Diceros bicornis minor: one gene and its partner. The protein of the gene in region 1 purifies or fractionates together with the protein of each later gene. This does not show direct contact. Links are inferred from orthologs where the notes say so. Each region holds a gene or a part of one and is shown on either strand. Other genes may lie near its edges.

Region 1 (7,171 bases):
CTCAGCCCAGGGTCATCAATGAACTGCCAAAGAAGAGTCAAGGGGTCACACAGCCTGGCCAGCATGCACATGTACCTGGATTGCAGTCCACCTTAGCCCTTTTTTTGTGCGTGAGGAAGATCAGCCCTGAGCTGACATCTAATGCCAATCCTCCTCTTTTTGCCGAGGAAGATTGGCCCTGGGCTAACATCCGTGCCCATCTTCCTCTACTTTATATGTGACGCTGCCACAGCATGGCTTGACAAGCGGTGCATCGGTGTGCACCTGGGATCCGAACCTGTGAACCCTAGGGCTGCCAAAGCAAAGCGCACGCACTTAACTGCTGCACACCGGGCTGGCCCGCATCTTAGCCCTTTCTAACCGAAGCTTCCTGCTGCTTACCAGGCTTCCAGGACATCAGAGAGCTCTTCCTCCTGCGACCCTGGCTCCCTGAAGCCCTTTTTCACAGCCACAAAGAAGCCCCCTCCCCCCAGCCTGCTGGTACCTACATCATCCTTCTCCAGCATGCGCAAGATCTGTTTTGTTTCTTCATCCGTCTCCCTCTTCTCTTTTTTGATGTTGATGATATGAGAGGGCCCCATGTCCGACACATCCACTGTCTTATCCCAGTTCCCTGTGGGAGATCACCCAGTTCACCAGGGGTAAGGAAGAGGCCAACAGCAAGGAAAACTAAACTGGGAGCAGGGGAATTCTGCCCTTGCCCTTTTCTTGGACAGTCTGAACTGAAATCCACCATTCCTTCCTCCCAGAGCCCTGGCAGCTTTGTACCCTTTTTCTTCATCATTTCAGCTGGGCCCTGCTCAAAGATAGAGTGGGACTGGATCACTTCTGGGCGCCCCCGGCCCCGGCCATGCCCCTCTCGCTGTCGGTCTCTCTCTCTTTCACGCTTCTCCTTCTTGATGGTTACTTCTTCCTTGGGCCTGGAAAAGAGAATGGATTAAGAAAAACCACTCAGTTACCCTGCCTCAGAGAAGTGGTTTTACTCTCCCACACCACTGCACTTGAGTGGAGAGTTTATGCCCCAATAACTACATCATGAGAAGCAGAATCCAATCCTAAATCTAGCACCTGTTTCACTTCCTTGATGGGGCAGATCTCTTTCAGTTTGCTTTACTTTACCTTCTTGTTTGAGAATACATATTAGAACTATAACTCAAAAGTTGAATTATAGAGACTGTCCCCAAATGCGGATTTTTTGGTATTGACTGAAAGCAGGAAGGCTGTGATGCAAAAGAACTTAAGGGAAAACATGATACACCTTTGTCTAAACTAGTGGTTCTCAACTCTGGCTGTAAAAGATATTCACTTTGTCTCATTGCAACTAAGTTAAATCACAATTTATAGGGATGGACTCCCAGGCATCAGTATTTTTGTAAAGCTTGCACATTAGAATTATCTGGTAGCCTAGGTTGAAAATCACTAGTGATAAGAACTAAATACACAAATTTAAATTTCTGAGGCACATACCTAGTTATTTCCCCAAAGGCCCAAATTCAGAGCAAGTAAATAAAGGGTGAGTATTCAGAAGACCTGGCTACTTACTCCTCCTTGATCTTCCGACTGATGATATTCGGGGTGAAGGTTTTCTGAAAGTAAAATACAGGAATCACTGATTTGGTAAGTTCTGATTTCAAAGTATAGAGGAAAAGAAAAACTCCCAAAGGCATCTTCTATGGACCAAGACCACCATGGCTCTCTTCTGCACATTCCACACCGTTGCCAAAGATTTACAGAGATAGACATGTGCTTGAAAAGGAGGAACGTCATGTCATGGTGGCAATGGAGTTACACACAGAAGCAAGGGGCACCAAAACCCATTTAAACTAACAGCCTCAGCTTCTGTCCTCTGAAAGGAGAGCCCTCAGGACTTCTAAAAGCAAAGTAACTTATCTAGTCTCACCTCCTGTTTTCAAACTGCTATAGAGACCAGTCAGTATCATAGGCAAAGATCTCTAGCAGCAAGGCTCAAGTAGGGAAGACAGATCTGCCAGCACCCGCAGACAGGGTTAGACTGCCACCAGAATTCCCCAAGGCAGAGTTAAGCCTTTCAAAACTGGCTGAGCTACACTTCTGTCATTCCCTACCCCCTTTCAGGGCCACCCTTTACATCTACAGTCGTCAACATAACAGGAGAAGACACAGAGCCTCTAATGCCACGCCTAGGAATCACCATACTCTAGGACAGCGGTTGGCACACTGGGATCCATAGCGAATTCAGAACTCTCTAAATCTGCAGGCAAAATGTATTATGCCACCGAGGCTTACATAGGTTTTAATGGTGTCCAAAACACACACAAAAAGTAAATAAAGACTGCTCATGTTGCTTTTAAACTAATTAGGATTCTCTGCCCTTCAGCCATCTCCGAGAACCATGTCAACATCTTGTACCCAGTATCTAAACTTAAAGGTAGGTCAGGCTCCCAGAATTTGTAGGCGGCATCTGGCGACGAGATTCGTGGGGCCCAACACCACGCCTGGCACGCGGTAGGCCCTCCATGAAAGTCCATGAACATTATTTGGACCCCGGGGGCCTGGAACTCAAGGTAGTCGGGTTTCTTTTGAAAGGTGCCGTCGGGTACCTTTTTGACTCCCCCGAGGGTGAGGTCCCTGGAGCGGATGGAGGGAAGGCGGCCCGGGCTGAGGGGAGGCGCCGGCCGCCGCCCGATAAGCCCCCGGGCCCCCGAGAGGAGGGGTCGCGGCCCTCCCGGAGCGCTGGGCTCGCCCGCGGCGTTTCCTTCTGACATCTTGCCTGGAAGAGAGGGGGGAAAGGGGCCATGGAGTCACTCGAGGGGGCGGCCACGCGGACCCAGGGCGGAACCGCACCCACATCGCCTCCCGCCCCCCGTCAGTGCGTCCCTCCCGCAGCGTCCCTGCTCCTCCCCTCCCACGTGGCGAGACTCCTCGGACCTCCCCGGCCAGAGCGCTTGGCTCGCTCTCCCCAGGCCCCCGGCCAGAAAGCAGCAGGGACGCACCCGGGCTGCGGTCCGCACCACGCGCGCCCAGACTTCACCTCCAACGCGGCCCGCAGCCGGACCTCGGCCCCGGCGCCAGGCGGAAGTCTGCGTGGCAGGGTCCGAGCGCCGCCATCTTGCCGCCGGGCGGAAGTGAGGTCGGGGGGCGGGGCCGGGCCACAGTATTTATCCGGCGGCGCCGCGCGCCCCTCTGCCTTCTCTTCCCGGTTCTTCCCGGAGTCGGGAAAAGCTGGGTTGAGAGGGCGAAAAAAGAAGCGGGCGCTGTCTAGGTTCCGCCACGGTGCAGACCCCGGAGGGCTTGGCCCGGGCCCGGGGCCGGGGATGGAGGCGACCAGCTCAGAGTCTAGCGGCGTTTGCCCCCACCCCTCCGACGCAATGCGGGGATTCTCTGCGGCGGAGCCGCAGATCAGTGGGGTCGCGGCTCCGCGTGGGGCGAGAAGTGGGGGCGGAGAGCAAGACCCGACTCAGAGTAGGGGGAACTGGGCCGGGCCGAGCCGCGGCTGCGGGCTCGATGGTGACCTTGGAGTGGTCACCGCAGCTCTGGGCGGCGGCTTCGCCCTCGCTGGGGGTCTCTTCCCTGGGCCCTTGGGGGCGTCCTGCGGTCGGCTGTGGGCGCAGCGTCGGGTGCCCAGTGATACCCGCCCTGGGCTCATGACTGCAGGCCTTGGTGCGCTCTTGGTCCAAGCTTGGAACCAGAAAAACGAAGTTTGCTTTACTGCGAGAGGAATTTAAAGAACTTTTATCGTGACTCTGACATTTGTAATTTAACATAAAGAATGTTCTTTACTGTTAGTCTCCCCACCCTCCAAGCCATGTGAAAACCACGTTAACAACATGAGGGAAAGTTCGAGGGAAGGAAAACATTTCCGCTACAATTCCATCCACATAGAATACTACTGTTAAAACTTGTGTGATATACTGCAGTCCCCTTCACAGAGCTATCATATTGTACCGCAATTTTGAATTCCGTCCTTTCAAATAACATTTCTTTGTCGCTGCATCAAACGAGTGCGTAGTGCTCGAGTGGCTACGTCATGACACTTAGATTGTTTCTTTCCAGTTGTAGTGAACATCTGGTGCATTTAACGTTTTTTCTTCTTTTGGGTTATATTTCTAGGACAGATTTCCAGATTTGTGATAACTGGACAAAAGAAGACATACTTTTTTTTTAAGTAAATTTTTTATTTTGATATTATTATGGATACACACACAGTTGGGAGAAATAATGCAGAGATCCCAAATACCCTTTACTCAGTTTCTCCCAATAGTAACATATTGCAAAACTCTAGTGCAATATCACAGCCAGAATATTAACATTGATACAGTCAAAAAGCAAGACATTTCCATCACTACAAGGATCCCTCTAGATGACCTTTTACAGCCACACCTCCCTCTCACTCACCCCTGGCAACCACTAATCTGTTCTTCATTTTTATACTTTCCTATTTCAAAAGTGGAAATCATTCAAAAGTGGAATCATACAGTATACGACTTCTTGGGATTGCTTTTTTCAGTCAGCATAATTCCCTGGAGATGATCCAAGTTGTTGCGTGTATCCATAGTTTGTTCCTTTTATTGCTGAATATCCGTGGTTTGTTTATCAGTTCACCCTTGAAGGACGTCTGGGTTGTTTTCAGTTTGGGGCTGTTACTAATGAAGCCGCTATAAACATACATATACAGGTTTTTGTGTAAACATAAATTTTCATTTCTCTGGAATAAATGCCCGCAAGTGCAATTGTTGGGTCAAATGGTGGTTGTATGCTTAGTTTTATAAGAAACTGCCAAACTGTTTTCCACAGTAGCTGTACTGTTCTGAACATGCACTTTTATGGTTCTTCATCCATATTGCTGAGTTGCTTTCAGAAAGAGATGTGCTAACATGCATCAACACTAATAGATATGAATGGTTGTAGTAGATAAGAAGATATATGTGTGTGTATAATATTTTGCCACTTCCTTCTGGGTACTGGCTCTTAAAATTTTAAACGTTTTTGCCAATTTAATAATATATTAATATTTTGTTATGTTGGTTTCTGATCAGACTTTTTTCAACTTCTTTTCTCCATATTGGTTTTATGATAACCAAACCTAACCAAAGAAAAATCCTTCCTGTCCCCTATAGAGCTACACAGAGCAGCCCTTGGATCAAAGATGAAATTGCTTTGATTTCATTCTCTGGGCTTTGAAGTCCACCAGCCTTTTAGCAGCTCCTAGGTTTTCGCTTTGTTTTTTTTTTTTTTTACAAGATACTTATCCATTACAGAAAACCTGGAAAATTTTAAAAATCACCCAGAAGAAAATAAAATCATCTGTTATTATCCCATCAACTGTTGCATATACTTGAAGTTGTTTTTCTATGCATGTAGATTTTTGAAAATTAACGTATTTTACATATGGTTATATAATCTTGTTTTCTCTTAACACTATACTGTAAACATTTTTCTGAGTTATCAAGTATGCTTCTCAATTATGACTGTTAATGGCTATACAGTACTCCACATTGTTGTCTTGCACCATAATTTATTTAACCAGTTTCCTTCCCTCAATGCTTATTGGATTTCCACAGCATTTTTTACCCCAAAAGGACAAGAGAAGAGAAGACTTAAATGAAGTCTTCCACCTTTAACATTTTGGGGCTTACTTCCTAACGATTATTATAATTTCCCTTTAAGAGTATTCTCCAGCTTTGCCTCTAACTAGGCTGATATACTTTCAGCACCTTTCTGCTTTCTTTCTTTCTTTGCTCCTGTACCTCCCACTTCATTTTCTCCCGAAGAGTGGTCATTCTTTTATCTAGCCTCAAAAGAAACTTGTAAATCATTACTAGCTGAACTCCATGTAATCACATCTGTGATTCTAGCAGATCTTAATTTGTTATTAATAACGTTTTATTGCATTTTATTTTTACATATTTCATAGTAAAGACAATAGTTTCTTTATTTTCTGATAACATAATGAAACTAATAATCAAACTCTTAAGAACAAATATAGTTTTTGGGTCTAAATGCAGTTTGCAGAAGGTATAAACAGATTCTGTCAAAAGCCTGTTCCTGTGAATTCTTAATGGGCATTGGAAATACTAAATGAATAAGGAACCGTTTTGTAATATGTATCAGTAGAATAAATGGAATGTGTTATATGAGAATGCTACCTAAGTTCAAGCTATTACATGTTCTCTACGAGTAATTTGTCCTAATTTTTTTTGCATTGCTTTGCAGATCATTTGTTTGCTGGTTCCTCTTCATCTCCTTGACCTCTGAACATTGCAGAGCTCTGGGATTCAGTCTTCAGAACTCTTCCCTTTTTCCAGTTTCTTTGTTTCAAACCATGTGCTGTATGCTGATGACGACTCAATGCTTATCTCAGTCTGGACCTCTCTGAACTCCAGATGTGTACCTCTGCCTATCCCACACTTCCACTTGGATGTCTGCTAGGCGTCTCAAAGCTAGGTCTACACCTAAACTTTTGATCTTCCTCCTCAAACTACTCCAAAGTATTCCCCATCTCAGTAAACAGCAACGCCATCTCTCTAGGTGCTCAGGTCAAAATTTTGCAGCTGTTCTTGGCTCCTCTCTTTTTCTCATGGGATACATCTAATATGTCAGCTCTTCCAGATGTATCCAGACTCTCACCACTTCTCACCACCACTCTCACTCACATCCCACCTTGGTCCAGGCCACCATCATTTTTTGCTGTGAATATTATAATACCCTCCTAACTGGCCTGCCTGCTTCCACCTGGGCCCGCTCAGTCTAGTCTCAACATAGCATAATTAACATATTTCACATCAGGTCATGTCTCTGCTTTAAACTTCCCAGGGGCTTCTCATTTCAGAGTAAAAGCCAGAGGCTTCAGACTGGCCTACACAGACCTGCATAATCTGTCCCTCCACTCACTGACTCTCCGTCCTCGACTCCTACCATGTTCCCTTCACTCACTCTGCTCCAGCTGCACGGGTCCCCTTGCTGTTTCTGGAACAATCTGGCATGCTCCTGCTTGAGGGCCTCTGCACTTGCTACCTGGAATACTCTTCCTCCACGTAATTTTCATGGCTCTCTCCCTCCCTTCAGTCAACTTTTCTATCCTTTGAGTTGTATTTACATATGTCTTCTCCATAGGTTCTTCTGTATGCAGCTCTCTTAATAGAGTAAGGGTGGCAAATACTGAGTGAGTGGAGGGAAGCCTTTCTAGCATGGC
Region 2 (7,138 bases), on another chromosome or scaffold:
ATATTTACAAGCCCTGACCATCTGCCAGGCACAAGGCTAGGCCAAGACGATGTGGAGGGACATGACAGAGAAGTCCTGTGCTGTCGAGGAGCTTGCAGACTAAGTCTTTGTGTGTTTTTGTAAGCCACCTCACTTCCAGGGAATGATGCAGACAGTTAATAAAGAAGGCTGGTCCCTGTTTTTACTAATGAGGAAACCGAACATGCCAACAACTCCCTGTCGCAATCGTGTGAGCCGAATACTGTAAAAGAAGCCTGGGAACCCCAAACACTGAACTCTGCGATGCTGGCCCCCTCCCCCAGCCTGGCCCTCCTCCAGTTTCCCATCTCAGTGAAAGGCCCACCACCCAGCCAGTGGCTACAGCTCTCAGCGCTGGCTCCTTCCACTTCCATCCCCAGGTTATCCACCCTGTCACTGAGACCATCCCCTGGAGACCTCTGGACTCTGCCCAACTTTGCTCTCCACGCCTACCAGGAGAGTAGGCTACCAAGAGTAGGCTCGCTCAGGCCTACTCTTACAGGACCCACCCAATAACGTCCTTCTTGGTCTTCTTGTCTTCATCCCAGCCCCTTCCCGTCCACTGTCCATCCAGCTGATGTGTCACTGTGTCATTTCCCTGTTCTAACCTTGGAAGGCTTCCCTTTGCTGACCTCGGGCTAATGTTGTGGCACGACCCAGTGTTTAGGAGGATCATGGGCTCTGGAGCCTGAATCCCAGCTCTGCCACTAATTAGCTGTGTGACCTTGAATGACCTACTTAACCTCTCTTTGCTTTAAATGAGGTGAAATGAGATAATGAGATAAATGAGAATGATAAATGATAATGAGACAAATTAGCTAATGATAATAATAGCCCCCACCTTATATAGCTGTTGTGAGCATTAAAAGTTAATGAATATTATAATGATAAGGCCCTTAGGGCTGGCCTCACGGCTTAGCGGTTAAGTTCATGCGCTTCCATACTGGCAGCCCGGGTTCGGATCCCAGGTGTGCACCAACGCACCGCTTCTCCGGCCATGCTGAGGCCGCGTCCCACATACAGCAACTAGAAGGATGTGCAACTGTGACGTACAACTATCTACTGGGGCTTTGGGGAAAAAAAAAATTAAAAAGAAAAAAAGGCCCTTGGGATCTGGATCCTGCTTAGGTCTCCAGTTTCACCAATTCACATCTCCCCTATAAATCAGCTAAAATACTTTTGATTCCCTGAGAGTGTCAAATTCTCTCTCTCTCTCTGTCCTCTCCCCAACCCCTCTGAGCTGAAGCTGGGCCGGGACCAGTTCTTCTTCCCCATTGAATCTCTAACAGCTGGGCACATGGTATGTTGAATGAATGAATGAAAGAATGTGAAAATGAATGATTGAATTTGGGTTCTGATGGATGAGTAGGAGTTTTCCAGGTAAAAAAGTGTTCAAGGCAGGGCTATAAAAGGGCTTGCTCTATCTGAAGCTTGGTACCTGTGGGGTTACTGTAAATATTCAATAAGAACGTGATTACCATGGGCCGGACCCGTGGCTTAGCGGTTAAGTGCGCACGCTCTGCTGCTGGCGGCCCGGGTTCGGATCCCGGGCGCGCACCGACGCACCGCTTCTCCGGCCATGCTGAGGCTGCATCCCACATGCAGCAACTAGAAGGATGTGCAACTATGACATACGACTATCTACTGGGGCTTTGGGGAAATAAATAAACAAAAAAAAATCATTAAAAAAAAAAGAACGTGATTACCAGGGCCGGCCCAGTGGCGTAGTGGTTAAGTGTGCATGCTCCGCTTCAGTGGCCCGAGGGTTCGCGGGTTCGGATCCCGGGTGCGCACTGACCCACCGCTCATCAAGCCATGCTGTGGCGGCATCCTGTATAAGGTAGAGGAAGATGGGCACGGATGTTAGCCCAGGGCCGATCTTCTTCGGCAAAAAGAGGAGGCTTGGCATCGGATGTTAGCTCAGGGCTGATCTTCCTCACACTCACATGAAAAAGAACATGATTACCTTTTGACCTTGTTCCCAACACAGACACAGATGAAAAGAAGTTAATATTGTCAATTTGCTGTCTTCTTGTTTAACCTGAGGGGTAATTCAAGGGTCACAAGGGTTTTTGAGCTTCTTTTACAGAAGAAAGAGAATGGTTCAAAGATCACCAGATAACCAGCCCCCCAGCTGCCGTTGACGCCCAGAAGTCAGATTGCCCAGGGGCTTATCTGAAGTGAAAGAAACACGGATTACCCTTTTGTTTCTCTGAAACTCCTCCTCCCCAGCCCCCTGCTTTCTTCTCTTGTTAAGGCGTATTTGAGAGACTCTATACTCCTGTCTTCTCATTTTGGCCAATTCGAATAAACCTTTCTCCATCTCTAAGCACAAACGCCTCAGTGATCGGCTTACTGCGCACTGGGCACACAAATTTGAGATTAAGCAGTTTGGTATCACACACTCAGGGCTGGAGGCTCCCAGTGTCTGGAGGACAGAAGGAAAGTGAGGCTGGAGAGGAAGGCTGCGTTCAGTCTAGACCTTTCTGTGACAGTGTGGAGGTTGCTTGCAGGAGAGACTGAGACCAGGAGCTGGGGTGTGTGGATAAACTTCAGAGGAGCAATGAAGAAGCCCCAACCAGGGCAGTAGCAGCGGGAATGAAATGAAGAGGGAGGATTTGAGAGATATTTGAGAGAAATAATTTATATAATCTCCTAAACACTTTTACCAAATGCCTCCTAAGAATGATGTTAGGGGATTGTGGGAATAAAAAGCTGAAGTAGCACTTTCTCTTGTCATCAAGTAGCTGAAATCCTAGGAGAGAGAGATAAACGTATAAATAAAAATATAGATGCAGGGAAGGCCAAATTCAGTATTACTACAGCCAGTCTCATGGAGAGATCTCTGTAAAGAGATCAGCAAATTAAAGCACTATGCATTTCTGAGTGTCTCTGTCATCTACGCAAACCTCTCTTTTTTTTTTTTTTTTTTTTTTGTGAGGAAGATCTGCCCTGTGCTAACATCTGCCAATCCTCCTTTTTTTTGCTGAGGAAGACTGGCCCTGGGCTAACATCCGTGCCCATCTTCCAACACTTTATACAGGATGCTGCCACAGCATGGCTTGCTGCCACAGCATGGCTTGCCAAGTGGTGCGTTGCTGCGAGCTGGGGGTCTGAGCCGGCGAACCACGGGCTGCCGCATCTGAGCGCACGCATTTAACCGCTTGCGCCACCGGGCCGCCCCCCCCAACCTCTTTTTAAGTTTTCAAATTTTTATTTGGTTAAAACACACTACCTAGAGGCAGTGTGGTGTTGAGGTTTAGACAGGGCCCACTTCTATCACTTAGCAGCCCGTGATTTTGGACAAGTTATTGAATTCTCTCAGCCCATGTTAGCTATCATATGAAGATGAATGGTACTGGAACATGGGGGAGAGAGAACAAGATGGGGCTGGAGGCCTGGGTAGCGGCAGGGCAGATCCTGCAGGGCCTTGTGAGCTACCACAAAGGTTTTGGACTTTATTATTAGTTCAGTGAGAAGCCACCGAGGTTGTGTTTTGTGCCAATTTATTATCACTTTTCAATTGAGATGTAATCTGCCTACGATTAAATGTGAAGATCTTAAGTGTTGAATTCAATGAGGTTTCAAAATTGTATACAACTGCGTAAGAAAATACAAAATATTTCTATCACCGCAGAAAGGCCCCGCCTGCCCCTTTCCAGTCAATTCTGCCCGTCTCCAGAGTACTGAAAGGTCTAAGCCGATTGTGTTTGCGTTTTCAAAGGATCACTCTGGCTGCGGCGCACGGGACGGCCTGGACCAGCAACAAGAGAATGTCACAGGCCAGACGAGAGATGACCGGATTGCCCCGAGGTCGCCTAGCAACCAGAAAGTGTTGTCTGTGGGTTGACCGCTCCGCGAGGGCGGAAAGGGGAAGACCCGCCCCACCCAGGCCCCGCCCACCACGCTCCGCCAAGAGCCAGTAGGCAGCCCCGCCCCGCGCGAGGGGGCGGGCAGAGGTTTCTTATTGGTCGGTTCTCCGGAAGCGACGGGATTCGTAATCTCGGGGAAAGTCTCGCCGCTGCCGGCTGCGTGTGGGTGCGCGGTGCGTGGTGGCGGCGCGTGGCGAGTGGCCCTGTGGCGCGTGGCGGGCAGGGGCGGGGCCGCGCGTCCCCGCGCTGGACCGACGGGACCTCCCGTGAGCCTCAGTTTCCTCTCTTTGCAGTAGCGGAGCATGCTGCGCCCGGGGTATTCCACGCTCTACCGTGCAGCTGCGCTACCGGTCTGGGGTGGGGGGCCTCAGCGATTGGGACGGGACGGAGGGGGCTCGGGGATCCTCACCGCCCCAGGCCCCGGTGCGTGACTGACCCTCCCGTTCCCAGAGCGCCCAGCGCAGGCCGCGATGTTCGTCCTGGTGGAGATGGTGGACACCGTGCGGATCCCCCCGTGGCAGTTTGAGAGGAAGCTCAACGACTCCATTGCCGAGGAGCTGAACAAGAAGTTGGCCAACAAGGTACTGGGCCCACGGGGTAGCGGGCAGGCCCTGGCACGGGAGGGCCCAACGCTGCCCACCTGCCCGCTTCAGGCCTGGCCTTGGTCATGTCAAGCCTTGGCCTTGAGCAAGTAGCTTAACGTCTCAGAACACGGTTTCCTCACCCGTGCGTGGGATGGGGGTAATCCTTACCCACAAGGGTGTTGGAGGGAATCAAAAGAGAAATTGGGTTTGAAAAAGGCCGTTGTAACTGAGAGGTGCTAGATTCCACACTTAGAGATTACTTTGCAATCTTAGGCAAGTCATTTACCCCCTCTGGGCCTCAGTTTCCATTTGTAAAATGGAAATAAAAATTGCTGTCCAACCATGCCTTGTTTTTGTGAAGATGGAGGGTAGTTTAGAGTTAACCAATAGGAGATTTATCCATTCATTCCTGCAAAAAAATATTTGTGCACCCTCTATGTGCCAGGCCTGCACACCCTACTGCCAGCTCGTCAGAGGCCTTGCCACTGCCTTTTCTGTCGTCAGCCTCCCTCCTCAGTTATTCTGTGCCATGTTACTCTTTCCTTCTTTGCACTTATACACTCTATGTTCTTATTTGTTGATTTGGTTATTGTTTTTCTCTTTCCTCTGCATTTGTTTATTTGGTTATTGTTTTTCTCTTTCCTCTGCATGAGGGTAGAGACCTTTCCCCACAGTATTCCCCATATTTAGGCAGAGCCTGGCACAGAGTAGATGTTCCATGATTGTCTGTTGATCGAGTGAATGAAACAGACAAGATTCTGCCCTGTAGTGTGGTGGGAGAGCAGATGTGAATGAGAGGGTCCCACAGTTGAGCGCATGATGACAAGTAGAGGTAAATGCTGCAAAAGATAGGTATCCACAAGCCTGTGGAACGAAGAAACTTCACCTACGATGAGGGAGACAAGTGGCTTTGTTAGGGAGGTGGCACTTGTGCTTGAGCTGAGATCTGATGGAAAAACTAACTAGGGAATTCATTTTTGGGGGGTGGGAGGAGGCTGGGCAGAGAGAAGAGCTGTGCAAGCAGAGGAAACAGCATGTGCAAAGGCCCTGTGGCAGGAGGAACTATTACACCATCACAGCATGGTGGAGGCTGGTGTGCCCTGGGCAGAGGGAGAGAGGGGAGGGCAGGCTGGAAGGGTGGCAGGAGCCAGGCTGCACAGGGCCTGCAGGACTTCATGGGAGTATTGGTCTTCATCCATAGAACAGTGGGAGGTGATAGGCTGAGAAGGAGCCAGCAGGAGGAAGATTGGCTGTCTTTCTACAGGAGGCAGGTCCCTTCCATAGAAGCTGAGGTCACAGAAGGAGGGTGTCCAGATCTGGGGAGTTGTTGGTGGGGAGAACTCACGGAGTCCTTAGTGGATGGCTTCTGGTAACTTTGTGAGGTAGAAGGCGAGGGGTCTGTGGGGAGATGAAGTGTGAACATTGTGGAGAGAGAAGGTGTGAAGAGTCCAGGAAGGGAATGCAGTCCCTTTGGGGCACAGGTCCTTCAGTGACCTCTTCAGACAAGTCTTCCTGTATTTGAGTTACTGAGTCACTGAGAGGAGGCCACACAGAAGAGGCCTATGGTCCAGCCAGGCTCTGTGCCTCATCGCTGTGATGTCTGGCCAGGACTCCGAGTTCCCTGAGCTTCTTGCTAATCCTTGAATGGTCCTGCAAGGTCTCTGATTGGGAGGTGATGACACTGGTGGCAGATAAGCAGACACCAAGTGGACAGTTGTTTAGAGCACCGTGGGGTGGGGATGGGGCATGGGCTCTTCTCTGCCCAGTCTCAGGGCCTTGGCCATGTGTCACTCTTCCAGCCTCAGTCCCTGTGGCCACATCTGTGTGAGCAGAATGGAGATCAGCTGTGGTTCTGACGCTCACTGGGCTGTGGGCTCCAGTAGGGACTTGGGGACGTTGGAAAGTGTAGTTTAACCAGGCTTCCCCTACTACTGATCTGTACTAGTAACAGTAGTGATCCTTGATCGGTGATTATTATTTCTAGTACGTGAGCCAGGTACTGGGCTAGGGGCTTCACATCCGTTCTCCCTCTTTATTTAACAACCCTGCAGCCTGGTTTGTCCATTTTTGCAGATGAGGAAACTGAGGCTCAGAGAAGGACCTTGGAGGTCACACAGTAAGTGGTGGAGCTGGCACTGTGAGCTGGATCTGCCTTGTCAGAAAAGGCCCTGCTCTTCCCAGAGCTCTGCATCCTTCCAGGGTTTCTTCCCCGTGGTCACCTCAGGCAGTGTCCCAGCTCACTTCCCACTGTAGAACGGGGATAGCCAGACCTGCTATGTGGTGGTGACAGTCTCAGGAGAGACGCCTGGGAGCTGGGCCTCGGGGTCACTGTGTATGTGCGTACACGGACGCACACAGGTTGTGTACAACGTGGGACTCTGCATCTGTCTGTTCGACATCACCAAGCTGGAGGACGCCTACGTGTTCCCGGGGGACGGCGCGTCACACACCAAAGGTGGGTGCCCTCTCCTCCTGGGGCATTGGGTTTCTTGGGGCTCAGTTTTCGGTGGTGAGAGTCCTGGTCTGGGTGTTGGGAGACCTGAGGCCTAGTCCTAACTCTGCCAGGAATTGACTGGGTGATAATGGGCAGAATCCTCCCTTCTCTGGGCCTCGGTTTCCCATCTCTAAGAAACGGGAGGTGGACAAGGTGATTCTCAAGGCCCC

Evidence for each region. Proteins that work in one complex are often made in the same cells at the same time.
Region 2: the proteins of POLR3D (region 1) and POLR3H purify together in Homo sapiens (affinity purification with mass spectrometry; 6 studies listed by BioGRID and IntAct, counting the BioPlex papers as one, with this or other methods). This does not show direct contact. The link is inferred for Diceros bicornis minor from reciprocal best matches to the Homo sapiens genes POLR3D and POLR3H.

Annotation. Positions count from the first base shown.
Region 1 is NC_080750.1:71,627,106-71,634,276, forward strand, and holds the start of POLR3D (DNA-directed RNA polymerase III subunit RPC4), read right to left. Parts: upstream 3,062-7,171; 5' UTR 2,973-3,061; intron 2,750-2,972; 5' UTR 2,745-2,749; coding exon 2,580-2,744; intron 1,587-2,579; coding exon 1,543-1,586; intron 921-1,542; coding exon 769-920; intron 614-768; coding exon 489-613; intron 24-488; coding exon 1-23. UniProt on the Homo sapiens protein: DNA-dependent RNA polymerase catalyzes the transcription of DNA into RNA using the four ribonucleoside triphosphates as substrates.
Region 2 is NC_080764.1:8,900,733-8,907,870, forward strand, and holds the start of POLR3H (DNA-directed RNA polymerase III subunit RPC8), read left to right. Parts: upstream 1-4,194; 5' UTR 4,195-4,206; intron 4,207-4,340; 5' UTR 4,341-4,360; coding exon 4,361-4,471; intron 4,472-6,547; exon of another isoform or gene 6,548-6,808; coding exon of another isoform or gene 6,809-6,832; coding exon 6,833-6,929; intron 6,930-7,138. Other genes in the region: CSDC2 (cold shock domain-containing protein C2), read right to left, coding at 3,907-4,194.